Notamacropus eugenii: one gene and its partners. The protein of the gene in region 2 interacts with the protein of the main gene of each other region in a biochemical or structural test. Links are inferred from orthologs where the notes say so. Each region holds a gene or a part of one and is shown on either strand. Other genes may lie near its edges.

Region 1 (7,986 bases), on a different chromosome or scaffold from region 2:
AGACCATTTAATTAAAAGAAAATTAACCATGATACAAAATTAGGTAATCTGATTTCTATTTAGAGGAAGGATTAGGGAATAAGTTGAGAGGGGAAAGCAAATAGGTGCAATTCTCTGAAATTAGAAAAAAGTATCCCACTCTTCCCAAGTTGTCTATAAACAATCAAAGGAACATGGAAACAATACCTGATTGATCAGGGCAGGGCATATGGATTGCTCCAGATGTATAATTGTGAGAAAACTCCTTGCATCAGTCTTTGGATTAGACTGGATATCTGGTCAGCATGACCAAGGTCCTTAGTTAAGAGTCTCCAAGCAGCACATAGAGGTTGTCCAACGCAAGGTTAGGTTCAAAGAATGCAACAAAGCCCTCTCCAAATTCCCATGATGAATAAAGTTTTCTCACAAGACAGAAACTAGATTAGACCCACAATTGAATAGAAAGGGAATTGAGCTAGCTCCAGAACTGAGTCACAAGATGGAGTAAGTGTGGTTCACTCAATTCCCACTACCACTTGGTGTTTTAATTCCCTCAGTTCCCCCACATCATTTCCCTGTTAGGAGGGAACATTTTAATTCCTCTGGAATTGGTTGATCAGTGCAATCATTGATAAGAGTTCCTAAGTCCTTCAAAATTGTTTTTACAATGTTGTTAATTAAAATGTTAATCATTCTCCTGGTTCTGGCTCACTTAAATCTTGATGGCAACGTTCAAGTGATGCCTTCTCCCTTCACCTCTGCTTTGTTTTGTGTAAGCTTCAACTCTGTCACTTCACTTATGTGAGGTAAACCCCCTCTACCACCTTCCATTCCTTTCCTCTCTTCCCTTTCATAGCTGCTTTTAAGATTGTCAAGACAAAACAAAAATCATTCCTAGATACTTCATCTTTTTTGACTCCCTCTGTAACCCCTGTTATATATAACTCTATAACATCATGGTTCTAAGGGGATGCCTATATTATCCTCTCCCCCTCTTCATTAGAATGTAAACACTTCCTCTTTATGAAGTCTTTTCCAGCTGCTTCTTTTTTATATTTCTCTTTGATCTTGTGTTTGCAGTTCAGAATTTCTACTAAGCTTTTCATTAAAAATGCTTGGAAGTGTCCTATAAAATAGTAGTGTAACAGAAAAAAACAGCAGTAGTGTAATGCCATAGGCTTTTTAATAAAGACCCATTTTTCTTCCCCTGTAGGGTTACACTCAGTTTTTGCTAAGTAAATTATTCTTGATTGCAAGCCTATATCTTTTGCCTTTTGGAATATTAGATTCCTTGTTCTACAGTTCTTTATAGAGTAGATGGTAAACCTTGTATGATCCTGATTGAGGTTTCTTAGTACTTTAACTCTTTCTGACAACATGCCTGTTTTTTTTTTTCTTCTTTAATCTAGAAGCTCTGGATTTTGGCTAAAACTCTGGGGAGTTTTCATTTTGTGTTTTGTTTTTTTTTAAGAGGTGATTAGTAGATTCTATTTTTACTTTGCCCTCTGATTCTAAGACAGTTGGACAGTTTTCTTTCATGAGTTCTTGGAATATGATTTACAATATTTCTGTTTCTGTCTCTGCGTCTCTCTCCTTTAACCCTCCCTCTCTTTCTTGCTCATGGTTTTCAGATAGTCCAGTGATTCTTAAATTGAATCTCTGTGATCTGCTTTCTAAGTCAGTTACTTTAGCTTTCTTTTCTTTTTCAATATTTCAACTCTGTTTTAATATTTTTTGTTGCATTTCAATTAGTACAGATGCACAAAGACAGGAAATGGAATGTTGTGTATAGAAAAAAGACCAGTTTGACTAGATTACAGAGTGTGGGAGTACTGTCTAGTGAAGCTGAAAAGATCAGCTGGAGCCAAGTTGCAAAGGGCTTTCAAAGTTAAACATAACAGTTTATATTTTATCTTGGAGACAATATAGAGCCATTAGAGTTTACTGAGCAGGGGATATGATCAGATCAGAATTTGAAGAAAACCACTTTGACAGCAGTATGGAGGATGGAGAGACTTAAGGCAGGCAGACCCATTAGGAGTGTGTTGTAATAGTCTGTAGGCTTGAGCTAAGGTGTTCAGCTGTAGGAGTAGAGAGAAGAGGTCAGATATGAGAGACAGAAAGGTAGAAAGAACAAGATTTGGTAACTGGTTAGAATGTAAGGTGAAAGAGAGTGAGGAATCAAGGATAATGCCAAGGTTACAAACCTGGGAGACTGGAAGAATCCTGGTGCTTTCAAGAGAAGAGGGAAATTTGGGGTAGGGTTGGGGAGAAAGAGAATGAATTCTGATTTGGACACGTTGAATTTGGAATAAGAGTGGTAACTACTTTGGGGGGTTTTATAGCCCAGGTCTGAGATCAGTTTTGGACATGCTGAGTTTGAGATGCATAGCAGATAATTGATAGTTAAGGATTATGTCTCTCAGGAGAGATTAGGGCTTATGTTAGATTACATTAGATTATGTATATACATGTATGTATATATGTGTGTATATATGTATGTGTATATGTATGTATATGTAATATATGTATATGTATACATATACACATATATGTATGTCATTTTGTGATGGTAAGCAAAGTAGGTTTACAAAACACTTTAATAAAATACCTCACTTAAGTCTTAAAACAATCTTGTAAAGTATTTGCTACTATTATCACCACTTAATAAGAGAAAACTGAGCCTGGGAGAGGTTGTTATTGCCCAGGGTCACTACGGTGTTAAGTAGCAGAGCCAGGATTTGAAGCAGACATCCAAACCACCACTAGGTTAGAAATCAGAACACTATCCATTACGATAGGCTTCCTCTACCAGGCTAAAGGGCCAGTGTTCTGACAATCTGGCTTTTTACTAAGTTTTAAGAATCTTTGATTTCACTCCTCTGGGTAATCCCTCCAGTCATACTGAATTCAACCATAGGCTCCTTAGCAGATGGTTACATGGGCTGCTTTGGCCAAACAATTAATCAGCTGGTGGTCAATTTTCTAGGGATAAGCCTCTCTAAATTTATCTAAGCTGGTCCTAAGACAATTGACACAGGCTGTCACAGGCCCATATTTAAAGACTTTCCAGCTGAGTGTCCTGCTGGAATAGCTTTCTAGCATAATATGTTAGTCAACAAACATTATTTAAAAAAAAAAAAAAAGATACTGAATGCTGGGAAATTACCATAACCAAATTTGACTCCAAAGAGGAGATATGAGAATGTACTTTCCTCCCTCCAAGTTTTTTTTTTTTTTCCCAGGTGGAGGAACTATGGGTGTCAAAAACACTACTTATAATATCGACCGTTTCATATGTTGGTTAGTTTTCCTGAACTATTTTTTCCTTTTTTTTTTAGTTTTCAAATTTGAGTTCCACAAGCTTTTGAGTTTTAAATTTTCTTCCTCTCCCCCCCTCCCCAACACTGCATATACATTCATATTAAACATATCTTCACATTAGTCATGATGTAAAGAATTATAACCAATGGAATGGACCACAATTTCCAATTCTTTTTCACCACAAAAAGTGCTGCTATCAATATTTTTGTACAACCTTGCCATTTTTTTGATCTCTTTGGGATACAGCCCTAGAAGTAGTATTGCTGGGTCAAAGGGTAAGCATATTTTTATAGCCCTTTGGGCATAGTTCCATGGCTCCAAATTACTCTCCAAAATAGTTGGATCAGTTTATAACTCCACCAACAATGCATTAGTGTTCCAATTTCCCACATCTTCTCCAACATTTATAATTTTCCTGTTTTGTCATGTTAGCCAATCTGATAGGTGTGATGTGGTACCTAAGAGGTGTTTTGATTTGCATTTCTCCGATCAATAGTGATTCTTGTTTTGTTTTTTTTTTGTCATTAAGGATGGCTCGGGTAACAAGAGTGATGTAAAATTAAAAGATATCAACAAACAATAGCTTATAGGATTAAACATTTAATTGAAACAAATTCAGAAAACAAGCACTAAATGTTTACTATGTGAACAGCTAACATTTCTATTGAGCTTTAAGGTTTTACCTACGCTGGGGCCTGGAGTCAGGAAGATCAGAGTTTAAATATGGTCTCAGACACTAAACAGGTGTGTGACCCTGAGCGAGTCACCTAACTTCGCTTCAGTTTCCTCAACTGTAAAATGGGTATAATGGTAGCACCTACTTTCTAGTGTGGCCGTGAAGATCAAGGGATAGAATATTTGTAAAGCATCTGACACTATATTCTTATTCCCTTTTCCCTAACAAACATTTCAATCAATAAGCACTGGGGATACAAAAAAAAAAAAAAAAGCCAAAGACAGCCTCTGCCACCAAGGAGTTTACAGTCTAATGGATCATCTGGACCTCATACAACCCTGTTAAGGCATCCTTTTTTTTCTTAACATATAAGGAAACCAAGGCCCTTCACTGCAGTATTGAGTGATGTGGGAGCCTAGGGTACCCTGCCCACTGGACCAGGAATCAAGAAGACCTAAGTTCACATTTGGTCCCAGACACTAAGTAAGTGACCCTGCACCAGTAACTTAACTTTTCTTGCCTCAGTTTCCTCATATGTAAAATGGGGCTAATAAGGGTTGTTGTGAGGCTCAAATGAGATAATAACTGTAAAGTGCTTAGTACACCCTGGCACAGAGTGAGAAATAGATGAATGTTAGCTGTCCTTATTGGCATTATTAAACAACTAACAGGCTCAACCTTGGTTTCCCCGCCTATAAAATTCCCCAGTCTTATTGGGGAATCAATCCCCCAATGTGTTATTGAGGATAAAGTGAGCCACAGATGTACAGGGTCCCGTTAGCAACTGGTGCTTCTTCTCTCACTTAACAAAGAAAGCCCCTCCCAACAAAGCCACCCACAGTGCAAAGCCTAGGGAGGTGGGGGTGGGGAGGAGGAGGACAAGCCCGGGAACTACATTCCCCAGAATTCCCGGTGTTTCCCATCCGCCCCTTCCTGTCCGGGGAGGCTGATGAAACCGAAAGTGCTGCGGCTGCAGCTGGGTTTTTTTTCACCTTCAGTCCCGTGAACACGACGGGCGGGTGAATCCGGTCGGGGGAAGGAAAACCCTGGGCCCTGCGTAAAGTATGAACGGAAGAGTGGACTATCTGGTCACGGAAGAAGAGATTAATCTTTTCCGAGGACCCTCAGGTACTTGGTGGGAGCTGGGGATGGGATGGGGGAGGGGGGAAAGGGGCCGCCTGAGGTTTCCCGCCACGCCACGAGAAGTCTCCCTCAGCCCCACGCCGACCCCCAGCCTCCTCTTGGTCGGGCCGCGGGCCTCTTATCAGTATAACCCCTTCCCGCTCGTGGAGGGGGATCTGCTGGTAGCCTGGCGTCCACCCTTGGCTGAGGAAGGAGCCCCTGCCCTGGCCGCAGCCTGGCACAGCCGAGCTGCCCGTGCGTCACGGCGCCTCCGGGGAGAGGGAGGATTAAAGGTGGGAGGCGTACTGCCCTTGGCGATTCACCCGCGGCGGCCGCCCCGCCCCCCCCGCCCCCCTCCGGCCCCCTCATCGCCCCCCCGCGGCCCCCCCCATCGCCTTGGCCCTCAACTTCCAGAGCTTTTTATATTTATTTTTAAAAATCTCCGTTACCGAGGTTCTCTGGAATCTAGCATGAAAATTCATTTGCCCCCTTGTATAAATTCTTTTTTTTTTTTTTAAAGAGTCCCACTACTAATTAAGAGTGTGTAGAGCGACTGAGTCACTCAGTCGATCCCCCGCGCTTTTAATCAGGTTTGCCGTGGACCCAGGCGCTTTGAAAGCGCCCCTAGGGCAGCCCGAGCTGGTTAGGGACGAGGAAGCCGGCCGCCCAAGGTCAGCTGCTCGCGGGGCGGCGGGCCCTGCCCCTCCCCCCCCCCCCCCCGTTCCTCCCCTCTCCCCACCCCCGACCCCTCCCCTCCCCCCCCCCCCCGCAGCCCGACCACCCGCCTGCGCACGCAGCCTCGCCCTGAGTGCCGGCGTGTGGCGGCCGAGCAGTCACTGGAGCCCCCCCTAGGCCCGAGTGAGCCCGCGGTGCCGGCGGCTCTTCGGAGGAGTCTCCCAGGGGCAGGGGCGTAGAGGTGGCGCGGCGGTGCCCGGTGCCCAGTGCCTGGCCCCACACGGCTGGGCTCTTCATGTTTGCATCTGCACACGGTAGACTTGGATGTTTTTAATTAGAAAGATGGTTATGCCTGATTTTCTTAGATCTTTAGAAACCAGCAAGCTCTCCAGAAAGGTCCCGCCCCTATCTCATGAACTTCCTATTGAGGTTCAGAGTTGTATGTTCTCCTTATCCTGAAGGGATTGGTTCTCTAGCATAGTGGTCTCTTGATTTTTTTTTTTTTGAATTACACACCCCTTTCCGAAAAAAAAAAATTAAGATAGGAGTACTTTAGGACAGTGGTCTAGACTGTTTGGATTGCACAACCCTTTCAGGAAAAAAATTAAGGTATTGGTTCTCTAGGACAGTGGTCTCTTAGACTTTTTGAATTGCACACTGCTATCCATAGGAAAAAAAATCAAGCATACATTCCCAATATGTGTATATTTATTTACAAATTATATGCATGTACTGCTGTAATAAGTAATAAATAATAATATGTAATAATACAATATAATATAATATATTTTATTATATATTATGTTAATTACATTATTATATATTATAATAAGTAATAATAATAATTATGCTATCAAACTTGCATGAAAATGTAAATTTTGAAAGGGCAAGATAAAGATGAAGTAATATATGATCCCAAAGTCATTTGGGAGCCACTGGAATTTATTGAGTTGAGGGAAGTTATTGGGTAGTTGTGTGTAAGATTCAGTAAGGCGAGACCAAGTAGAAAACTATTTCAGTAATTCTGTCTAGAGGTGAAGAGTGCTTGAACTCAGGTAGTGGCTTCATTAAGAGAAATGAAGAGGTAGAAATGACAAGACTTGTTAATAAGATACGTGGAGTGAGGGAGAGTGAAGATTGGAACATAACAGGAAGATAACTTGGTGTTATCTTCTCCAGCAGTGCCTGCCCAAGCCATGAAATGATTTTAGGGACAGGGTATGGGTATGCTGGTGGGGTGGGGTGGTGGTGAGAACTTTTCAGTGGCGTTTAAGTACTTGCTGCTATAGGTACTAGGTAGTGGTTAGATGACAACTCCCCAGAAGGACCCATGCTGGGCTCAGAAGCAGGAAGATTGGATCTCATTGGGATCAGCCCTCTGATTGGTTGATCCCATACTTCTTGGAATCAGGCCACAGCCCCCACTTGGGAGACCATTACTCTGGAAGGATGGGAATTGATGTCTGGAATGAATTTACAGAATTTTCAGCAATCAGTGCCCATAGAGTGGCTAAGCAGTGGCTTCAGAAGACCAAAGGCATAGGCAAGGGAACAGGACTATTAAGAAAGGAAAAGACAGAAGGAGTGGGTGGGATTTTGATTTTTAAGGGAGAAAATTAAAGGGACCTGGGTTGGGTAATGATAATAGGGCTAGCAACATTTGCCCCAGAGGCTTTGCTGAAAGTTCATAGTTAATTTTACAGATAGCTGCAGATTACCAGCGGTGACCTGGAGTCTGTTCCAGCTTGATTTTGAGGCAGATGTCACAAACTGACTAATATTAATTTTTGAGCTGGAAAGGGACCTTAGATATCATCTTATCCAATTTGTTTGTTTTAGAGATAAGAAAGTTGAAGTCCAGGAAAATGTGACTAGCTCAAGGTCACACGGCAAGTTATTGGCATAGATGGGACAAAAAAAATCAGGGCTCCTGACTTCTGTTTGTTTGTGCTCTCTTCCTGAATCAGTTCCCAATGGATGCAGAGGGGAAGTGAGTAATCTGGGATGTGTGTGTGTGTGCATGTGTGTGTATGCATGTGTGTGTATGTGCACGTGCACGGATGAAGTGGGGCAGATTAATTCATAGATGAGAGTAGACAATGTATGGAAAACTTTTCCTTCTGTATTATAGCAAGTCACTTGCCCATTAGTGAATAATTCCTAGCTGTTTACTTGTAGGGATTTAATCCATTTAGTCACTTATTACAGCA
Region 2 (7,658 bases):
TGAACACATTATATCTGTGTATAAACATATAAATATTTAGAAAAACTAAATAAGGAAGTTTGTGAGACTCAAGAAAACATCTAACAGAAAATCTAATGTAGAATAAGTTTTCTTCTCTTTTGCTCATTATTTAAAAAAAAAAATACTCATAGAACATGCACTAGCCAAGAAAGATGAATCTGAAAAACTAAAAAGTTTTTAAAAAGAAAAATAATTATAAATATTTCAATAACAAAGATATCAAAGATAAACATCAACAGCAGGGGCAACAATAATATACTCAGAGCACATCTAGCTGATAAAATAAGTCCTTTAGAAATCTAATATTTTAAGTTATAAAACTGCTCAAATGTTACTAAAAGACTAGATCTTTAGAATTTCTTTTTAAGCTATGCAGTACTTATATTCTTTTTTCCTATGAGTTTTATTGCAAATGAAACATTCTACAGCAGCAGAATTATGGCTATTTACCTGCTGGCCTAGTGAAAATGATCTTACAGGGAAACCGTTGCTCAATTTCTCTTCTCTTGCTCCCAAGCTAAGGGGAGAAAGCTGCAAGAGCTATACAGCAAGCCTCCTTATTCCAGAAGGAGTGCATTATGTCTGCTCAAGAACAACCTTGTTCACCAATTAGTGTGACTCAGGTGGGTTTGGAATGGAGTAAGGTCCACAATTCCTTGGGCAGTTAGAGGCAGTCATGCTCCTCCTCCTTGAAGGTAGGAGAGCTGAAAAGGGGGTTCAAGAGAAGGTTCCTCAAGGAGAACAAGAGGAATACACCAACCAGAGGATATGAGGGTGGAATAGGAGTACTGGGGAAAATAAAAATCACAACATTAAAGCACTCTGCAAGCAAGAGCAAAAGATTTAATGTTAGCGAGGCCTTCATTCTTTTTAGCCATGCCATTGTTCGTCTTCCCTCCCAAATCATGCACAAAAAAGAGCTGTCAGCCTGCCTTAAGCACGTTCCTTCTTCCATTTAAACAGACATGATTCTTTTGGTTAATCTCTGGCAATGATCGCCATTTCACAGCACATTCAGCCCACCCGGAACTGATCAATACCACTACAGACACAAGACTAGACTTTATCCATTTATTAACCACAAGGAAATGTACCATTCAGCAAAATCCTATAGAATTCAAAGGGTGTGTGTGTGTGTGTGTGTTTCTGTGTGTTTGTGTGTGTGGAGAGAGAGAGAGAGAGAGAGAGAGAGAGAGAGAGAGAGAGAGAGATACACAAAGAAATGACTACCACCCCCTATGGCAAGTAAGATTAAGATATGGCCACAAAAATCCAACTGTCAAATGACAGATATGTAATAGTCTTTTCACTTTACAACCTACGCAATTAAGTGCTGGATGTTACGGTAAACAAATCTAGTATATTTTAAAGTATATTTAATCTATTCAATATATAGTGTATGCGAATGCACACCTTTAGACTATAGTACAACGTTCACAGATTTTCGAATATAAAAGACTAGACATCTTTTCCAACCACTGGTTGCAACCATAAAACATTCTCTCAAAATCAAAATTTCAAATAGAAAAATAGCTAGATCATCCTTCCAACCACTGATATCAGTCCTAAAACCTTCTCACTAAACAATTCAATTTTTTGACTATGAGTTATTTTACATAGGCAATTTTCCTACTCAGAAAACAATACCTCTAAGCAAAGAGTTTTAAAACAAGAAGCTTCTGGTCGGTGAGCAAGATCTCCACTCACAAATGGTGCTCCAAACCCCAGCACATTACCATAACACACCGCTTAAATGCATCCTCTGCATACAGCACCAGTTAATTACTCTCAGCACAGCAACTATGTTTTTAACACCGCTGGCCACTGAAGTTGAAGATGGGAGACTGAGTTGAAAGGATAGGTTATGGATTACAGATCAATGTTCCTTATGCCACTAAAATGAAGCAGCAGTTGGCTAAGGGCTACCACAACGTTCGTGCAAGATGCACTCATCGAAAAACACTCCTTCCGAGACTTGCACTCGCAATGAAGCCACCGATTCTGGCATCCGCCCTCCCAGGTTTCAAACATTTACATAAAATGTCACCTGCGGTATTTGCGGCTTAATGGAAACCCTACAGAAGCTGTCACCGACGCTACGGCCACAGAAACAGCATTCACTCATGTCAGCAAACCACGCGAACTCGGAACGATGAAAACAATTCTGGAGGCTGGCGGGTCACCACCGAACCGGGCAGGGGGAGAAGCTCGGCAGTCCCCAGCCCCGCCAGCACCCTCGCCCGAGTCGGACCTACCTGAGGAACAAGAGATGAGAAAGACGGCGAACGCCAACTTCGCGGCGGCTCCCATTTTCCCGAGGCACCGGGGGATCCGAGGCAAGTTCTGGCGAGCTCTCCGGCGCCCTGGGTCTTCCTCGGAGCCAACCCCCCGGGGTCCAGTCAGCCGTCATAGGGCATAGCCGGAGCTCCCCCGATCCAGGCGCTCCACGGTGGGCAACACCAGCAGCAGCCGCAACAAAAGGCGACACCAGACACAGAAAAACAACCCCCAGCCCCGCAGCGCACGCACGCCCCCAAAACGTGCGGAGTAATTCGAAATCAGAATCAAAAAGGCACCCCCGACCACAGCAGGCTGAAATCACTGTCAAAATCACTGTCAACTCGTCTCCCCTCTCATAGCTCGCTGAACAAAACGCCAGCGGAGGGGAGGAGGCGGAGAGGCGGGAGGAGGAGGAGGGGGAGGAGGAGGAGGCGGAGGCGGAGGAGGAGAGGCGGGAGGAGGCGGCGGCGGCGGCCGCCCGGACGGGCCGGCGATCGTGGACTCCAGTCCGATGTCCGCACCGACCTTCAACCCGGACGCCCCAAGTCCGGGAACCCTTTGGACGCGACGCCGGCGGCGGCGGCGGCGGCGGCGGCGGTCGTAGCGATTGGTCGCGGTGGCAGCGGCGGCGGCCGTGTCCAGGGCTTCGGCTCCGGGCTCGGCCGAGTTTTTTCGGTCCCCCGGCCTCCCCTTTGGCGCCCCGCCCCCCAAACTTCCGGTTCCGGCCCAAAGCAGGAAAGCAAGGAGCGGGCGAGGAACGGCCGGTGGCGGCCGGGCGCGGCAGGCGCGCGTGCCGGGGCCGGGAAGGAGAGGAGATGGTTAGGAAAGGGAGGTGGCGGAGGAGGGGTGCGGAAAGCGAGGCGAAGGGGGGGCGGGGCGGTGGAGGGGGCGGGGCGGGGCGGAGCTCGGGGGGCGGGGCTCCGTCGAACTGACGAGGGGGAAGGAGTCGAACCGGTCCGCCCCCCTCCCCTCCGGGAGCCTCCCCTGCCCTGGCCTCCTCTTCTTTCCCCTCCCTTTCTCTCTTCCCCTCCCCCGCCTCTCACTCAAATACCGCGACGTCTCGACGCCGTGGGTCTGCGGAGAGATCCCGCGAGACCGAGGCGCGGGCGCCCCTCGACCCCTGACCCGTTTGCTGCAGTTGTTGCTGCGGAGGGGGAAGTGGCCCTGCGCTCCGGCACCCCCTGGGCTTTTCCTAAGTCTCTCCAGCCCAGATGCCGCAAATGGGGCCCAGCGCTTCCCCCTGCCCCCCACTCCGGCCGTCAGCTCTGGGGACCCGAGGGGCGGTGTCTAGGGCCGATTATGGGGACTGGAAGCCCTACCCCGAGGGGTGGGCCTGGTTCCGCCGGACCCAGAGATCGGCGGACCCATTGGCAACCCCCTTACATCCGGCGCCCTTCCGGGGGTGGGGGAGAGCCTGTCCCGGGTGTTTCGTTGTGCCAGGTATCTGCCTGCCTTCCCGCGGGGTGCAAGGGACCTCCTTTGGCTCCCGCGCACCCAGCCACCATTGAGCGCTAGCAGGTGTGCAGCAGGTACCACGGCCGGGAGGCATCTCCGACTCGTTATTCTCGTGTGTTTAGAGGGGGAAATGGGGAAGGTGGAGCCCTCTGGTTAAGCACTGTAGAATTTCACAACCTTTATATAAGGCCAGGAGTGTTGGAGGGTGGAGTGGAATCTAAGCCCTCCCGACGTGCACCTTGAATCTGCTATCCTTTCCTTATTTTCCCCCTCGTTTATCCTCAGGCTCTTACTACTTGCTGTGCATAGTGTTTACCTAAGCACCTGGTTGGTCTTGGCATCCTTGGTGGAAGCACCGTGACTGTCACTGCTGCCTGACAGGCTTGAATCCTGTCTGCCCTTCGCTGGCTGTGTGACAGTCCTTCCATACTGGTCAGTACTTTTTATTTTACGGTGCTATTCTAGAAGTAGGGAGTGCTGAGACAAAAGTGAAAAGAAATGATTTCTTGCCCTCTATCGTAAATATCCCTTCCCTTGACCTTACTTTCCTTTTAAAGTTATTCTATTTCTCTTCCCCATTCACTGCCGGACTGCTACCAAGAGGAGCTGACACTCAAATGCCTTCCCCTTTTTCCACCTGTTCGTTTCTCAGTGTCTTGCAGTCTAACTTGTCCCTACCAGCTGACCGAAAATAATCCTCCTAAGGTCAGAGGCAGCCTCTGTCAAAGTTACCTACTGTGGGGGGATGGTGGTGAAATACAAAGGAGTAGGGTGTCAAAATCCAGAGAGTCAAAAGCAGAGCATGGAGAGAGGAGGGTGGGGGCACTTCCCTAAATGGAGGCTTACCTGGAAAGAATTTACCAACGGGGGGAGGCCAGAATTCTAGAGGGATATTCCATAGTGAGAAGGGCACAAGTGCTAAGGGAAGGAAGTTCCAGGGTGAGAAGGCAGCTGAATAATGATAGTAGAAGCCTGGAAAAGTCAGTCATACAGGAGAGAAACTGAAATCTTTGGCATTTAAAACTCTTTACAAATTGACTTTTTCTTTTTTATTCCTGTCTACTCTAGCATCTACCTGTACTGGCCTGCTTCCTGTTCCTTGCATATGATTCTCCCATCTCCTAACTTCATGCCTTTGCACTGGCTGCCCTCTCTACTTGGAATGCTCTCCCTTCTCCCCTCTTAGTTGCCCTTACCTTGCTGGAGAGTCAACTCAAGTACCAGAATGTGCTGGAGGCCTTTCCTGTCCCATCTCCCACTTCTCTATCTTATATGTACTTAGTTATTTTGCAGGTGGTTTCCCCCATTCAAGTGTATGCTCATAGGAACAATGTTTTTTCCTTTCTTTGTGTTCCCAGAGTTTAGCACCACACCTCACACATAATAAATACTTAATAAATGCTTATTGACTGACTATTGCCTCTGAACATAAGAGAAATCCATAATCTAAGTTCCACCTGCAGTTGTAGTTTGACACAGTGCTTGGCACATAGTGAGTACTTTAATAGGTGCTCATTGACATCCTTATCAGATCTTGCCTTCACTATTGCCTCCTAAGTGGCCATACTGACTAGTTTCTCCTGACTAACCATCCTTCTTCTCACAACCTATTACTGTTCCATCCTTATATTTCCATCACAGAATCTCCAGTTCAGACTGGCATTCTGTCTCCAAGACTTTGCACATTGTTTCCCCTGGCAGAAAAGAACTCTTTCCTTACCTCCAAGGCTTCTAATTTCCTTAGTGCTTCATTTCACATGCTCACTTGTATAGGAAGCCTTTCCTAACTCCCTAAGATCCTAATGCTTCCCTACACAATATCTTATGTTTATTTCATATGTATAATATATATGCTTATATATGTATATATACTTATATATGTGTGTATGTGTATATATGTATGTATATATACATACTTATATATGTACCTGTCACCTTCACTGATAGAATGTAAGCTCCTTGAAGGCAGAAAACATTACATTTTTTTGTCTTTGTATCTTCAGTGCCTGATACATAAGCGGTACTTAATAAAGGCTTGTTGAATGATTACCGAATAGTTTTCCTAATGAATAGTTCTGAATATTTCCCACATTCAAAAAATATCAGTGGTTCTCTGAAGCACCTTTATTGGATATTCTCTTCATATGACCTTCTCCAGGTTACAGTGACTAACTACCAGTCCTTTTTCATTTAATGGTTTATTAAGTTCCACTGGTTTATCTTCCTCTTCCTGAATGTGGGTGTCTACCAATGATATGTCCAATATAGTCTTGTGAGAACAGATTCAATAAAGTGGTTAAAAAAAGGCACATTACAAGAACTTGAGGAATAAATAAATATGGAGAAAATAGAAGTTCCAAGTGCAGATTTGTGGAAAAAGAAATGGAATGGCAATAGAGTGGGTAGAACCAAGATGGCAAAGAAACAGGAAGAAGTATAGTGAGCTCTCCCCTCCCCCCCAAAAAAACTCCAAAAAGATCTAAAAAACATACCAGTTTTAATCCTGATAAAATTTCTAAAAGTTAAAATTTTTCCAGCTGTGATCACCAAAGAAAGGTAGAAAAGAGGATGGAGTCTGGCTACTATGAGATACAACACGGAGCATTCCAGCACCTAAGAACCTAAAGTTGAACCATGATAAGGGCACCACTATATCATGTAAGGTACGGGAAAAGGTTCCAAATGGCAACTCCATTGCTCACTATCTAGTTCCAACTCATAGGTCCAGGGCTGACTGAGGAAGGATCCCATGCTCAGGGGTAGCATTTCAAGATATGAACTGGTTTCAGGCCCTAGGCTGTATACTGAATAAGGAACAAGTTCAAAAGAAAATAATAGCTGTGTGGCTCTGAACACAACGAATCCGTAATCTAAGTTCCAACTGCAGCATAAAGTGTTCAAAGGAATGACCCAGGACAGGAATCCCAGACCAAAGGGAACCCTACTGGTGTCACTGAACCAGGCTCATAGTAACTGAGTCCAACAGCAGTCTACTGAAACTCCAGAGGCAAACCCACAGTCCTGTTACTCAGATCCAAACCCAATACAGTAACTCAGAGAGATCAGATCAAGAGAATAAGGATAAGACTTACCCTGGCCATAGATGACTGGGAGCATGGAAAGTTTGCTAGAGTTAATATAGCACTGTACCTCAATAAAGCAGCTCCAAAAGCTGGTCCCTTTTGAAGTTCATAGATCTCTAACATAAAGTCCAAAGTCAGAAAGAATGATGAAAGAATGGGCAAACAAAAAGAAAATCCCACCATAAAAAGTTTGGTGATAGGGACACTCAAGAAAAGCACAGAAGGAATGACTCCTAAACATCTCCAGGCAAAGTCTCAAATAAATAAATAAAAACTTTGGGCATGAATTTCAAATAGAATTCCTAGGAAAGATTAAACAATGTTTTAAAAATTAAGAATATTTTTACAAATGAAATGAAAACACCAGAGAGAAAAAATGGAAAAGAAACTGGTTATGAAACAAAGAATCAGAGGATTATCAGCTTGTACCAAAAGAGGTACAAAATGTTGACCAAGTTACAAATACCCTGAAACTTAGAATGGACCATGAGATGTAGAAGAAATGTAGAAACAAAATCAAAAGACTGAAAGAGTAGAAGAAAATAAAAGATACCGCTTAACAAAAACAACTAGCCTGAAAGACAGATTGAGGCTAGAAAATTAAAGAATCACTGGTTTGTCTGAAAGACGAAAAAGTCTAAAGATCATGCAAGTAATCATAAAAACAACACAGACATCTTAGAACCATAGGACAAAGTAGACAGAAATTTTTAAGTCTAGCAGTCATGTCCTGAAAGAAAACCCCAAAATGAAAACTTTCAAGAACATTATAACAAAGTCCAGAGCTTCCAGGTCAAAGAAAAAAATACTGCAAGCAGT
Region 3 (7,558 bases), on a different chromosome or scaffold from region 2:
ACAGATTCAGAGCTGCAGAGGACCTTAACAGTCTTCTAGTCCAAACCCCTCCTCATTTTAAAGATGAGGAAACTGAGGACCAGAGAGTTTGGAAAATTTGCCAACAATCATACAAGTTGTAAAGTGGCAGAGCCTAAGTCCTTCTACTCCAAATACAGCACTTATTCCACCACAGTATGCTGCTTCCACCTTCATTACTAAACCCAAGACAACTAAAACCACAAAATCAAAATTTGGCTTCCACACTTTGGCATAAGCTTTTTCATGCACTCAGATGTTAAGATGACATCATCTAAAACTGCAAACTGTTCTTTATTACTTAACACTCAAATCACATAACTAGCAAGTGGAAGAAAACATTTAAATTTTCTATTTTCAACAAACCAAATAAAAATCACCAACTGTATTTCATGCACTATAAGCAAAATTTTCAGGGATGTATGTCACTGATCAAATACTGCAAAAGAGATCTAAGTATTTATTTATATACACACACATTTGACCCACTGCAGACAACTGATAACAGTATTTAGAAGAAATGTAATTTTTATAAATACATTCACACAAAACAAGCAAGAATCACAAAACGCTAAAATGTAAAGATGAAAGGAGACTTAGAAATGATCCAGTCAGGCTCCTTCATTTTTACAAGTATGGAAAAAAGTCTAGGAAAGTTAAGTGAATTGGGATTGTGTCTACTCTCTATTTCTAGGCTGTCAGAAGAAAACAGTCTCATAAATTGATCAAACTAGTATCCAACAAGCTTAATGGACCTATGGAGTTCTAAGATCTATACTTATTGAGGGAATTATGTTTTTATTAAAGAAATAAAGGAAAATAGGCAACATGACTAAGGAGCTAGTCTCAAGGTAAGACCTGTAATTCAAGGCAAGCCTTGGACACACACTTGGCTAAGTGACTTGGAAAAAATCGTCAGTGGTCCAGGAAATTCTACAGACTATAAACGCAAAATAATGGAGGTTCTGCAATGGTACACAGAGTCTCCTAACAGAAAGGGGGGGAGGGGAAGGGGAAAGAGATAAGCGACATTTATTCAAATAACACTAATAACATCTAGTTTAAAATTTTCTTGACTCAAAATCTTGAGTCTTTATTTGTGGCTCCCCTGAGAGGAGATAAACAAAAATTACATTAAAAAACGAAAACTGGTTCACAGACTTATTGCTTGATGTAACGATTGTCTTCTGTAAGTCACTAAGACAGAGAAACAAAACTTTGAAATGTACTCTTTCTTTGTAAGAGGCCTGCTGCTCTATTTAGGCTTTGTTGCTCTTATGCCAAGGAAGTGCCATATAAGGAACCTCAAGTTCAATGTCATTCATTTTGCTTAGTTTTTTTCAGATGTCCAGGAATAACCTCTTCAGCTAGCTAATAATACAGTTGTGCATTTTATATTCCTTGAGCAAGCTGGTTTGATTTAGTACTTACTTGCAGAACTAAATAGCAAGAAAATAACTACCTGGAGAAAAAAGACTCTGACAAAGGCCAACTTAACATGTAGTAGTTAAGTTTTTACTATCTGTCTTTTTGCATTTAATACAGATCAAAGCTGTTAGGAAGAAGTAATAATTTGATAGAGATAGTTTAAACTTGGACTTTCTTCTTTCCCTAAGGAAGCTACCATCTTTTTCAACTGCCACTAATTATTTGAGATCTGATAAACTAAACATCAACTGATATTATAATGGGAAATTACCTCCAGAATTTTCCTTGCACTCAAAAAGACAACTTTTTGTTCGTTAGCACCCTAAGTACTACAGACAAAAGTTTAACTATCCTTTCACACTAACAAATTCAGATATGCTGAAATACAAGAACCAACTGATAGAATCTGTGAAGTCTACTAATTGTTTTTAACACTTAGACTGAACTAGGTGGCCTCTGATATCCCTTCAGATTTTGTGACTCTTTAAATCAGTTTACAATTAATTTTTGCCATGCTTTTTAAGTTCAGCCTCCAAATTAAATTTGATCACAACACTTACTAAATAGAAATCCATTATATAATAAGTATTTGTGTCAAAACGATAATCCTCAAAAAGTCAAGAACAAATACCAGAAAGTTGTGTATAAATGTGTACGGTGGCTGTCATGCAGATAAATAGTATCAAAGTCTTATCAACATAGTTGCAGGTGTTTTTCAAAACTTACAAGTTCCTCTTTACTCAGAACAAGGAATCATATCCCTTATTTCCGTTCCTTTCTAAACTGGGCACTAACAGGAAAAATCAGATTAAGGTAATTGTCTTTTTAATAAATTTGTGAAATAAAGACTTTATCATACGGTTCTGCAAAGGGCCAAAATAAACACCCTTTCTGGAGGACAGGAAAACACAGGCTCAATCTTCCTGAAATCGCCTTCCACCCCATCGCTCCCCCAACAAGAACCAAGGAGTTTTGGGGTTTGTCACTGCGTTACACAGCCAGCAGCCTTCACCTCCCCGAGAACTTCACTTCAACGCCCTCTACTAGTTAGCAGTGTAAACAAACGTGGCGGGCAGTCCACGGCACACCACCCCACAGCGACGTCTTCCCGACGGACTGGCAAATCCAAAGTTGCTAGATTCGGTTCACTTAAAACAAAAATTTTAGGAGAATGCATTTTGGGAGCGGCCAAGTGCTTACCTACTTCGGGACCTAGGGGAGAACAAAGGAACTCTATGTCCTCAAGAGCCTAAAAAAACAACTTTGGGTTCCCCACTTCCCCTTTTCCCCCCGATAATGCCAGACCGGAGGGTGGACTGCAGAGGCAGCCCCGATATCTCACCGATCCAGGGCTGCCGGGCTTCCGATGGGAACAAGGACAGAGAGATGCAGCCCCTGCTCCCCGCCCCACGTTCGCCCCCATTTACCTCTCCAGAGTTCTCGGCCTCTTCTTCAGGCTCCCAGCGGAGACATGGTGGGGGTCCCTGGCTCCCCAAGACGCCGCTAACCCTCCATCCTCCGCGGGGTCTTTTCTCTCGGGGAAGGAGGAGGTGAATGGGGATGCCGGGCGGCCTCTCTCAAGAGGAAGAGGAGGCTGGTTTCGGCTCTGGGGGCACAAGCGGGGCGTTGCAGGCCGGTTTCCTGGTCTCAAGTTTTGACACGAGTTTCCCAGCCTCCCCAACCAGGATCCCCCGAGGAGAAGGGGAAGGCAAAAAAAAAGTTTTCTCTCGTGACACCGCCCGGAATTACTGCGTGAAACTCACTTCCTGCCCGGGCGGAGAAGCTGAATCCAGGTCCACTCAGGGGAACCCGGAAAACAGGCTCGACCTAAGTGGGGAGCAGGAGGCAGGCGGCAGGGGGGAGGGGTGTCTGTCTGTCAGCCCCGCTGCCGCCGAGGACCGTCCGAGCTCCGGCTGCAGAGATGGACGATCCAAAGGCAATCCTGCAAAGCTACCCGTGCGCTCGCTGGGCTCCCAGGCGGGCGGGAGCCGACGACGCGCCCCCTCCAGACCCCTCCCAGGCCCGGCGAGCGAGGCTGCACTGCGCCCCTTCCTCCTGCTGCCGCCGCCGCCGCGGCCCTCGCTAGGCCACCTCCTGCAGCCGCCGCTGCCGCCGGGTTATTGTCTCGATCGCGCCCGCCGCGCCCTTCGCCCGCGCTGCCGCGGCCGCCCCCGGGGTCCCGAGTCCAGGGAGAAGAGGGAGGGGGCAGGCACGAGGGCCGGCCCCCGGCCCCGGCCGTCAGTCCTCCCGGCTCGGGTTCTCCGTCTCCTCCTCCTCTCCACCCCCCTGCCCTCGCCTAGAGCTTGCGGTTTCCCGCCCGTGCCCCACTCCCGGAGCCCCGGACTGCTGTGGCGGAGGAGGAGGCTCCGCGACCGCGGGCGGGGTGGGAGGGAGCGACTCGGGCGACGACGCCGAGTTTAACACCGGAGCCGAAGCTGCCGCGGCAGCCCCGCCACATTCACTAGACACCGACCGGAGGGGAGGGGAAGTCGGCGGAGGAGGGGGGAGGGACCGGGCTGGGGCTGAAGCAGGAGGGGAGCGGGGCCTCTCCGGCTGAGGCTGGCGGGGACCTGGCGGCAACAGCGCCCCCCAACCAGGACGAACGAGAAGACACTGCGCACAGCGAACTCGAGCAGCGGAGGGGGAGGGGAAGGGGGCGGGTGCCAGCGGCCTCCAGCGGACTCTCACCCCAACTGCCAGCCACAACGGAGCGGCCGGAGGCCGGCGTGACGACCCAGTGGCTCATCTCGGCCTCTGGGGAGAGGAAAGGAATGAAAGAAGCCTCCCTCGGGGAAGGAGGGGGGGTGAGGGAGGGGCCGCCCGCGGCCGGTTCGAGGGAGAAGTGTGCTGAGGGAGAGCCGCGAAATGGCAACAGACCAGCGTGCGCCTCCGCTGGGCCCTCCGGAGCCTCGCGGCGATCCTCGCAAGGATAACTTTTTTTTTGCATAAACCCAGCTCCCCTCGGAGGGCTCCTCCAGGCCCCCAGTTGCAACGAGCATCCAAAGAGCCAAGTAGTGAAAGGGCCCCGGGGGCGCCCGACCGGCTCCTCTGGGAGCCGAGCCAAGTGCTTGTATTTTCCCCGGGTCTTCTCCTGGGCCGCAAGCTGCAGGCCCCGGGTCTCGACCACGCGCCCCGCCGGCCCTCCAGCCTCGAGTGGTGGAGGCGTGCATCTGCAAGGTGTGAAGGGGCAGGGAAGGCTTCCTTCCAGCCGGCAGTATTCCTTTCAGCTGGAGCAGTCCTGACTGCCTGCCGTGAATGCCACACTCGGGCTGCACGGAAGCAGCAGCTCTGGGTCCTTTCCGGAGCGGGCCCCGCTTTGCTGCTCGGCTGCCCCGAGAGCAGTTCAGCGGAGGCGCCTCCGGGCCTCCGGCTCCGACCGCCCGCCAGACCAGACCGAAGCCGGGATGGGGGAAGGCGGCTCCAAAACTGCTTTTGTTGTTACCCTGTGCCTTGGTGAGAAGGAGGATTTGGCGCACTGCAAACAGCTGCTTTCTGTGCTGCAGCTGCTGGATTATGTCTCAGCTGTATGCAGTCACACAAAACATCTGCATTTATTATTAAGGGAGATACTAAAGCATTCAGTGTCATTGCATCTGGAAAAAGCGAGAAAGCCTCCACCGTAGCAGTGGATTGTGTAGCTTCTTGCATTGTTTGCCTCTTGCTTTTGATATGTTAACAGACTAAGAGATGATCTTGTTTCACTACTGAAAAGGAACAGAAAAAGGATATATGGGGCACATTTTATCCCCAGCCTTCAACGAAGCTGCCTCCTTTCTATCCTCTAATTTCCGGGCCCCTGAAGTCACTTGTCTAACCAAACGTTGCATATGACAGGGAATTATTTATTAAAGAGTATGAATAAAAAGTCCTATACACTGTATTATCGAATAGATGGCTTTAAACTTTTATCCAGAAAGTACACATAAATTGTCCCCAACAGCTTATTTACCAAAGTGAATGTTTACGATATAAAAACACCCTCGATTAAATTTATCTTCTATGTGTCCAAAACATTAGAGTGGGGGCCGTTATAATTTCTGGAAAACTACCAGGATTAACAGATTATTTCACTGATCTAGAACTGATTTTAGAGGGGTTTAAAGAAAAACTTGGTAAATCTCTGGTCCCTGGGGAGTGTTTCTTTTTTTTAAGGGTTACAACTTAAAAAAAAAAGCTTTACTACTAAATGGCATCTTAGATGTCAACTTATCCAACTTCCTCATTATACAGATGGGGAAACCGAGACCTGAGAGGATTTGCTCAATTTCAGATAATACATTTTCAGGACCAGAAAAATCCCTGGTCCCCTCATTGCAAATCCAGCCTTTCCCCCCACAATATACTTTATCATTTAAGGTCACATAGGGAACATCGACCTTGCAAGTCAGAGATCCAGGTTTTACATGTTTCTCTGGCATTTACTATCCATGTGACCATGGACAAGTCCTGAATTTCAGCTTCTGCTTCTATAAAATGGAGATAGTAACATTTGCACTACTTGCTTTATAAGGGATATTAAGAAAAACATTTTGAAAGCTGTTACATTAATGTGAATTATTATAGCATACCAGGAACTAGAACTGGTATCTCTTTTTAAATTTATTTTTATTTCATTAAATGTCTTCCAGTTACATGTAAAAAAGATTTAACAGTTTTTTTAATTTTAAGTTCCAAATTCTCACTCTTCCTCCTAATCCTTCCCCCTCCTTGAGAAAGCAAGCAATTTAATTTTGATTATACGTGATTATAGGTTATTCAAAACATATTTCCATATGAGGGGCAGCTAGATGGTTCTCTAGTGCAGGAGTCAAATCTCACCTTAGAGGCTTGACACTCACTAGCTGTGTGACCTTGGGCAAGTCACTTAACCCCCAATTGCTTCATCCTGGGTCATCTCCAGTCATCCTGATGAATAACTGGTCACTGGATTCATATGGCTCTGGAGCAGAAATGAGGCTGGTGACCTGCACAGCCCTCCCTCACTCAAAAAAAAAAAAGTCAAGTGCAAGTCATGTCATTATTTCTCTGATGGCATGGTCTTCTTCTACAATGAAGGATGAATACACATTTTCATATGAGCCATGTTGCAAAAAGGAAACACAAACAAAATTTAAAAAAAATTAAAATAGTAAAAAGAATTGTGCTTCAATCTACATCCAGAGTACATTGTCTCTCTGGGGGTGGATAGTGCTTTTCATCATGGGTCCTTTGCTGTTTGATCATTATCTTGATCAGTATAAGTTGTCTTTCACTGTTGATCCTCCTTATAGTATTGCTGTTACTGTGTAAATCTTCTGGTTCTGCTTACTTCACTTTGCATGAGTTAAGAGCTTCGAAGGTTTTTCTGAAACCATCCTGCTCATTATTTCCAATAGCACAGTAGTATTCCACCATCTGTATCTTTTTTTAAAGAGAAGCTTTCAAGTCCAGGAAGCAGCTGATGCATACCATTAACCCAAGGCTAGGTTCCCAAGTATATCATGATTATGTCAAGAGACATAATATAAAGGCTGCATAATAATATTTATGAAGTGCTTTAAGGTTTGCAAAAGGCATTCCTCTCTTCACCCCTACAAAGTAGTGTAAATATTATCCCCTCTTTACATATGGGAAAACAAATTCAGATAAAATGGCATACCCAAAATCATGCATGTTTGAGACCCAAGATTTGAACCTAAAACTGTCCTGATTCTCCAAGTCCACCTTGATGGTTAAAATATTTCCTGGGATGGTAAATATTTACTTAATTAAGCTTTAGCTCATCCTGGATCTCTAAAGGCTGATGAAATTCTGACCCATACTTAATAATTGTGATTAGAATTATAATGGTTCATATGGGATCCTGTTCTACTCTACATCATCCCCATTTCAAAGGCTTTAATCTTTCCAAAGGAGAACAACCTGATTTAGAATCTCTAAACTTTGGATTAAGTAGACCTAAAAATCTCATTTATCTTACACCCAGTAGTACCACCTTTCAGAATGTTCCTGTGGCTGCACCTATGGAAAGTATGAGGGTCCTGTGGTTGCAATTCTTGAAACAAGTCTAGAGAGGAAAATCAACATGTTCAAGAACTCAGAAGCCCATAAGTGGGAAGACTGGAACTTAAAA
Region 4 (7,651 bases), on a different chromosome or scaffold from region 2:
TAGAACCCAAGTTTAGTAAGAGTGGTATACCTGACACTTTTGCAGGAGGCAGACCTCTTTGTCCAAGATGGCATAGACATAGGAAGAGTGAAGGCCTAGCATACACATTCCCTCTCATAAAAGAAGTCTTAAGAATTCCCAAACAGAAGGATCTGAGAATACATATTCCATAACAAATGACGTATCAATTACTTGCTGTGTTCAATTCATTATGCTAAATGATATAGATACAAATATAAAAATGAAATAAGGAGATTACATTCTTCTGAGGAGAAATGCTATATATATACAATTAAGTAAAATATAACGTGACAATGGACAGGTGAAAGGGGGCAAAGTTGAGATTATAAAATAAATGTTTGAGGGTGAAACCATGAAAAATAGTTGAAGAAACAGGGAATATTTAGCCTGGAGAACGGAGAATTAATAGAAAGCTTTCTTCAAATATTTAAAAGCCTAGAATGTATAATCCTCTTGAGGAAAAGGATTGCCTTATTTATATTTTTCTCTATTGTAACACTTTCCAAAGTATATTTCATGTACCCAGATCTGTGATTACAATAGTCTCTTATATGGATGTAGCACGACAACTCTCTTATATGACCTTTGTCCGCTTCTTCTTGTAAGTTTACTACAAGAAGTCTATCTAATGGTATGGAGGGCCTTCTTTGTTTTCCCTTGACATCACAAGCCTATCAGTGGAGCCCTATGGCTATCTAATGATCATGTGTCACTCTTACCATTGACCTATCTTCTTTTCTCCTTCACCTAAAAATTTTTCTTTAAAATATGGTTTACTTTACCAGTGCTTCAGAGTATGGAAAACTATGTTACACATAGTAACAACTTAATATTTGTTGAATAAAGGCATGCACAGATGTAGAAGAGTTGCAGCATTTAAACTGTGTAAATCCAGAGGATGGCACTAGGACTAATAAAGTACAGAGAGATAGATTTTGGCATAGTATAAAAATATTCTAACATGTATTACTACATAGTATCAGTAGCAATAGATAGCAGGCTGTTTTATAATCTCCACATGACTGGAGGTATTTAAGGAGAGGTTGGATAGTCATCTATCATGGATGCTGAAAAGAGAATTCTTGTGCTATATGAGAAGTATGCTAGATAATGACCTATGAAACTAGGATTCCCTACATCAGGTGACTGTTATTCTGTTTTAACTATTTTCTCCTGAGTCTGGCAACAAAATACAGAATAAGTGGAGATACGGAACATTTCAATGACTCATAAACTCAATTTTTAGAATCACAGGAGTCTCAAATCCCAGGAAGAGCCTTTACAGCTAAGCTCAGACCACAGGGATACATACTGAAAAGAGACCTATCGAAAGTAATAAGTTCAAATGTTCTGGCTTCCTAAAAATATTTGCCAAAGAATGCCTTTGTCCTAGAATAACAAATTTCTCACGCAAGAAAAAAAAAAAAATTCCCTTCTTTCATGAGTTGTTCTTTGATTAGGAAATGGCTTAACTAATATTTGTGCTAGAGCTCCACCATTGTTTTGCTTAGCAAACTCACACTTACCCTGGAAGGTATCAACAAAAATTATTCATTCCCTTCCCCCATCCCCCTGTGCCTTCCATCTCCCCAACTTTTGGTGAGATCCCTTGCAAATTTCCTGGAAAAAATAATTTGCCTGTGTTCTACAGGAGGATCAAGATGAGAGAAATCCATAATCAGTGTTAAAAGATCTATCAAAAATAATTTCAACTGTTAATCAAATACGGTTATCAGGTACGATGGATATTTTAAATACTAGACTAAATACCAGGCTAAACCTTGTCCAGCCAAATGTAAAATAGGAAAGGGTTTTCTTTGGCTTCTTTCAGCTTCTTTTATGCCCTTCTCTCCCTCCCCCCCCCCCCCCCCATTCTCAGGTTTCCAATATTCCTATGTTCTTTTCTTCCCTCTCTCATCAAACTCTACTTCTAGGGTCGTAGAATCCTAAATATAATTCTGGAAAGGATTTCAGAGGGCAGATAATCCAGCTTCCTCATTTTATACACACACTCAGTTTTGCCTAAGGTCACAAAGACACAAAGAGGTAAAATTTAAACCTAAGTCCTCTGATTCCAGAATAGAAAGTAGGTAGCCTTTGACACCATACCAGGAAAATGGGTGCACGCACTACATATGGATAAAACCATCTCTGATTCAGAATTGTTTGAAGAAATAGTCTCTAAACAGATGTAAATACTCAGAAAATTGGTTAATTTTTGTTAAAGTAACATTAAAGTTTCAATCAAATTAACCGTTTGCTATCACGAAGCCAACACAATGTAGAAAACGAGTTAGCTTTTATTTGTTTGTTTTTATTTTTAACTGATCATACTGTATATTTTGTCCACATGTGGAAACAGGTTATCTCAATAAGTATACAGATACACACATACAAAACCAATAACATATCATTAGATAAATTTCTCCTAGTTCTCACAAACGTGTTTTCATCTACCACTGCTTTTTATGGTCCATAAAAAAGAAAAGATAACAATGTGTACCTTTCTAGTAGAGCTCAGCAACTGTTTTTAATCAGGCAAATATCTTCAGTTCCTGTATTACCTTATTTCTACCTTGTCACTTAGGTTCTTTTCCCTCAAGTTTGCTAATAAGTGGCCTTACTTCCCAATCAAATACCCAAACGTCTTTCAAATCTAATAACAACATTAACAAATTAACACAGAGCTAACAGTTTTACTCTCACTTTCTGCTTTCAAGATATTACCAAAATGTACAAAACAAAACATTTCAATTCATGACAAGACTGTTTTTGTCAGTTTATCTAATCCATAATGGAATACTACCATAACTTCCAACCTTCTTACTTACTTGCCTTGGAAATGATGGGAAGGGGGGATGTACTCACTCAGCAAAGGAACATTGTCAGTTTGACAAGGCCTCAGTATGATCTTCACGTGTTTCAACTCTTCCAAAAAACACAGATCAAGCCCCGATCCTCAGCCACAGGGAAGAAATATTACTTTGTGACTTACAAAAGAAACCGGCATGAATGTTGCTCTTGCAATGTGCATATTCTGAATCACCGGCTCTCTCGTCACTGCAAATTAAAAGGAAGCATGTGTACCAATGGTTTTTACTGTCCTCAGAGGAAGAAATATTACTCTCCTTGGTCACACCCACTTCCTTCAAACATAATTGACAATCAGATATCCCCTGGCAAACCAAATCAAAGTATTTTAAAAGATGAATAGGCCCCAGTCTCTCTGATGCCTAACTCTGTAGTAGTAACTTAAATATTTTAAAGAAGACTTTCCATTCCCCAGGTAGCCATCCTGTGCACTAAGGTAAGAGGAACTTTGGGATTAAGTGATGTTGTGCAACAGAGTTCAAGGAAACCTCTTTAATTCACACCCAGCTAATTAACAATTTAGGAATGATACATGAGGTTCTTGCTGAGGAAAAAGTTCAAAGTAGGTGGCATAACTTGGGGCTTTTGTGTTTCTGATATGTCATTAGGTAAAGTGTCTCATTGTTAGTTGTAATAATTTTAAGTATTTATAAATACTTACTATATAGCAAAAGCTATGCTAGGCACAGGGATTAAAATACAAGGTGTCCCAAAAGTCTTAATGCAGTTTTAAGCTTTACTTGACTTTTCCTGTTTTGTTCAGTCATTTTTCAGTCATTTCTAATTCTTCATGACCCTATTTGGGTTGTTGTTGTTTTGATTTTTTGGGGGGGGAGGGAGGGTAGAGATACTAGAGTGGTTTGCAAAACTCTAACTCATTTGACAGATGAGGAAACTGAGGCAAATGGTGTTAAGATACTTGGCCAAGGTCACACTGCTAGTAGATGTCTGAGGCCAGATTTGAACTCAGGAAGATAAGTCTTCCTGATGCCAGGTCCAACCCTATGTTCACTGTACCACCTAGCTGCTTTTATTAGGCTTTAATAAAGCTTAAAAATACGCTAAGATTTTTGGGACACCCTGTGTCCCAAAGAAGTTTACATTCTATTGAGGGTAAAATAGCATTTAGAGGAAACTTGCAAAGGGAAGGGAGTATGGTCTATAGGGCATGGACCTGACCAGGAACTGGCATGGAATTCTGGGTCCCTGGCAAGATACAGCAAATGTTCACCTCTTAGAGCTGAAAGACCTAGGGGCAGAGTCCACATTACCACTGAGGAGAAGATAGAAATGATAATCCAAGAAGAGGATACTGGGAGGTAGTAGAAGACTAGAGGTAAAGGTGAGGCCCAAGAAGAAAAGGCATGGCATGTGATCAGGAAGGGAAATAGCATACTCTGGTAGAAAGGGCACTGGTCATAGGAATCAGGAGGCCTGCGTTAGAGGCTTAACTCTTCCATTAACCAACTAGATGAACTTAACCAAATGAGTCTCTCTAGTCCTCAGTTTCTTTTTCTGTAAACTTAGGATGTTTGCTTCTTCCTGCTTGAAATACTATGACTTGGTAATTCATATTGCATTAATTCACTTACATATTTAGACATGATTTCAAAAAATCTTCAGACATTCTATAATTCAACTTATTCATTCATTCAAGCAAGAATCAGAAAGATCCTAAAGAAAGCTACTTGAAACTTGTTTGTAGCAATGTATACATCTAACCTTGATTCTAACCTCAAGTTGATTTAGTCAGATGAAAAGTATGCTACCTTTTGTGGGCCTTGACTTTTACTACTTGGTGAGGTCAAAGATGGTCACTGTAGTGACCACATAGGAATTTTTTAACTTGTCAATATGTAGGGAAAAGGTAACCAGTCAAAGATATTCATTATTCCTTCTGTATAACAACTATCGTCACAGGTGGAGGCTGCATGCTTTTATACTAACAAAAAGTAGACAAAAGTCAAGCCAAAGTAAACAGAGGGAAAGCAAAATGTTCATCAAAAGTCAACAAAGAGATAAAATAATGACTTCAGCTACTCTGTAGGCCCTATTACCTTCCATGCGATGACTGTAGGACTTTTAGATGAAATTCCCCTTTTGTTTCCAGGAAATGGCTTCATTACTTCTAAATAAGGATCTTCCCTTTTGCTTCAAATATGTCTGGTCTTACAGTGGCCAAGATGCTTTGTTTTCATTCCAGCCTAAAGAGAATCAGAAGTATGTGACAAATCCCTCATTTCTCAATAGCATTAAGAAATCTTCACAGGAACTGTTTTAATTATACTCCAGGAAACTGACATTAGGGATATGTTTTGGGAACTTGGAAGCAGTTTCCAAAACATCGATAATTCATGTTGGTCGCCTTGGTGCTCTCTAGTAACTCCTTGTATTTTCGACTGACATATTCAAGGATTCAAGATTTTCAGGAGAAGTGGTTAACTGCAAGATTTTGCCAGAGAAGGGCCATAATTTCAGAAATAGTGGCATGCTCTGTAGAGACAACATCTCATTTGTATGTGAGTATGTTTAAGGGAGTAGCTTTTAAAAATTATATATCTATATAAATACATATATAATTTTTAATATGTGTCCCTCATCAAAATTAGGGTGGTTTCCTCAGTGAGAATAATATAAAATCAACTATACTCTTCATTTTGAAAAGATTACTGAGAAGGTCCCTGCTGTTACACCTCCTCCAATGGGTACAGTGAAAAGATGGCTGAATTTTAAGTCAAAGGACTTCAGGTTAAATCAATGTTATGCCATTTTTTCTACCTGTGTAAGAACAGACAAATTACTTAACTACTGTGCATCTCACTTTCCTCATATATTAAATGAAATGGTTGACTTTGAAAGAAATAAGAATTCTGATTAATTGATTGACCAACCATGACTTCTATAAATTTACAATGGAGCGTACCTCCTGCCTCTTGATAGAGAGAGGTCAGACAATAGCTATAGAATAATACATAAATTTTTGGACATAGCCATTACAACACAAATTTGTTTTGTTTGACAGTGCTTTTGATAGAAGAGGGAGCCTTATTTTTTTTTGGCAGGGCAGGCGTTATAGAGTTACATGGAGGGGGGGATTGTAGTGTTAGTGATGCCATTAATAAAACATTTTACAATAAACAGAAAAGGGTAGTAGGAAGTTCAGAAGAGAACACAGACAAGCAGGAAAATGTCGATACTACCACATTAAGTATAATAATTAAAATAAAGAAGCTATTCATACTGGATTCATAGTTTCAAATAAAATCATCATTTTCTGATCTTTGTATATGGAAATTTTCATATTATTTTCTAGTTGACAATAATTTAATAAAATAAAAGGCTGAAACAGATTATCTCTATTTTTAAAAATCTTTTTTAAATCTATGATTTTAAATCTCTAGTTTTAAATTTATGATTCATCTTGACTTCTCATCCACTACTAATTTTTCATGTATTCGCACATAATAGGATATGTCTATACACAGAAACTAAATAAAAAAGAAAACACTTTTAATTATCAGCTTACCTACAAAGTGCACCATTAGAGTTTGAACTCCTTCTACTATGTCTTTGCATCCTAGTTAGATGCTGCCATAGCATCTTGCACATAGGAAATATCTAATAAGTGCTAATCAACTTGGATTGCATTGCATTGAATTTGATTGACCTACCTGTTACGTTGTTATTTACATATGATATCTGCCATTCTCAACCATATAAGCAACTATCAATTATCTACTTATAAACTATCCAATTGATATATCATTCATGTATAATGGGGATCTGGCCCATGCCTAGACCACCTAAGATTCTGTCATTCATTTGTAAAGCATTGGGAATCTGCTTCAGTCTGGAAGATGCAGGGATAGCCTGTCTTGGCTTACCATATGGTTTGGAGCAGATTTTCTCTTCTCCACCCTCATTGATTGCATAGCTGGAACTATCTGTGTCTTTAAAACTGCTTGACTAAGAACCATCAGGGCTTTTCATCCATTCCTCATTCTTGTCTGAGGCTGGAGTACTTCTCATGTGCTAATGGAGGAAGGATTGAGGGTCACTTCCACCCACCCCATCAAGGCCATGAGGAAGTGAGAAATGGGCTTAGAATTTTGGCCTTTCCTTATGTTCTTCTCTGTTCTAGGTACAGGGATATTTCAAATACTGGAGTTTGAGCTATAGAGTCCTAAAAGCCCAGGAATCCAGAGCACATGTTGCAGTCAGCTCAGCAGGGCTTTGGGCTTAAAGTAAGTGGGACAAATGCTATATAGGAACTGAGTTAAATTGTGAGCCGAATCTGCCTTTCTTCCCCACACAGTGAAGTGGTAAGTGGGATGGGATATGCCCCAAGATGTTAGGGGGCAAATATTTGTATGTTTGTTCTTGCTGTTTTTGAAGTAAATTTCCCTTCATAAAAGCTAATCAATTTTAAGTGGTTAAATGGACTTGGGGTGCTTTTTCAACAGGCATCTAAAAAGGGATAAAAGAGTTGGTTAGGAACTGATCCAGTGGCAAAAAAGAGAGACACCCCAACCTACATCTAGGTGCTGGAGAACCCACAGGGAATGTAAAATGTAATAGTCCTGGTCCTAAGAGAGTGAGACCAGAATCAAACCAGTGCTACACACATCTAGCACCTTATCAGCAAGGGAACCAATGGGAAGTACAATGTTTTTCCAACTCATTGGAGAGACTGAATGATGTACAGAACAGGAGAGAAGGAAGTGGAGAACTTTGGGTCCTAGAGGGGAGCCAGCAATAG

What was found.
Region 1: the proteins of ACVR2A (region 2) and SYNJ2BP form a complex in vitro, tested with the Homo sapiens proteins (2 studies listed by BioGRID and IntAct, with this or other methods). The link is inferred for Notamacropus eugenii from reciprocal best matches to the Homo sapiens genes ACVR2A and SYNJ2BP.
Region 3: the proteins of ACVR2A (region 2) and ERBIN interact in a test that uses a peptide from one of them, tested with the Homo sapiens proteins (2 studies listed by BioGRID and IntAct). The link is inferred for Notamacropus eugenii from reciprocal best matches to the Homo sapiens genes ACVR2A and ERBIN.
Region 4: the proteins of ACVR2A (region 2) and BMP2 form a complex in vitro, tested with the Homo sapiens proteins (3 studies listed by BioGRID and IntAct, with this or other methods). The link is inferred for Notamacropus eugenii from reciprocal best matches to the Homo sapiens genes ACVR2A and BMP2.

Annotation. Positions count from the first base shown.
Region 1 is NC_092872.1:297,624,772-297,632,757, reverse strand, and holds the start of SYNJ2BP (synaptojanin-2-binding protein), read left to right. Parts: upstream 1-4,978; 5' UTR 4,979-5,043; coding exon 5,044-5,107; intron 5,108-7,986. UniProt on the Homo sapiens protein: Regulates endocytosis of activin type 2 receptor kinases through the Ral/RALBP1-dependent pathway and may be involved in suppression of activin-induced signal transduction.
Region 2 is NC_092876.1:283,052,130-283,059,787, forward strand, and holds the start of ACVR2A (activin receptor type-2A), read right to left. Parts: upstream 3,011-7,658; 5' UTR 2,332-3,010; coding exon 2,277-2,331; intron 491-2,276; exon of another isoform or gene 472-490; intron 1-471. UniProt on the Homo sapiens protein: On ligand binding, forms a receptor complex consisting of two type II and two type I transmembrane serine/threonine kinases.
Region 3 is NC_092875.1:320,993,705-321,001,262, reverse strand, and holds the start of ERBIN (erbin), read right to left. Parts: upstream 3,013-7,558; 5' UTR 2,874-3,012; intron 1-2,873. UniProt on the Homo sapiens protein: Acts as an adapter for the receptor ERBB2, in epithelia. By binding the unphosphorylated 'Tyr-1248' of receptor ERBB2, it may contribute to stabilize this unphosphorylated state.
Region 4 is NC_092872.1:578,456,817-578,464,467, reverse strand, and holds the start of BMP2 (bone morphogenetic protein 2), read right to left. Parts: upstream 3,018-7,651; 5' UTR 2,890-3,017; intron 1-2,889. UniProt on the Homo sapiens protein: Growth factor of the TGF-beta superfamily that plays essential roles in many developmental processes, including cardiogenesis, neurogenesis, and osteogenesis. Induces cartilage and bone formation.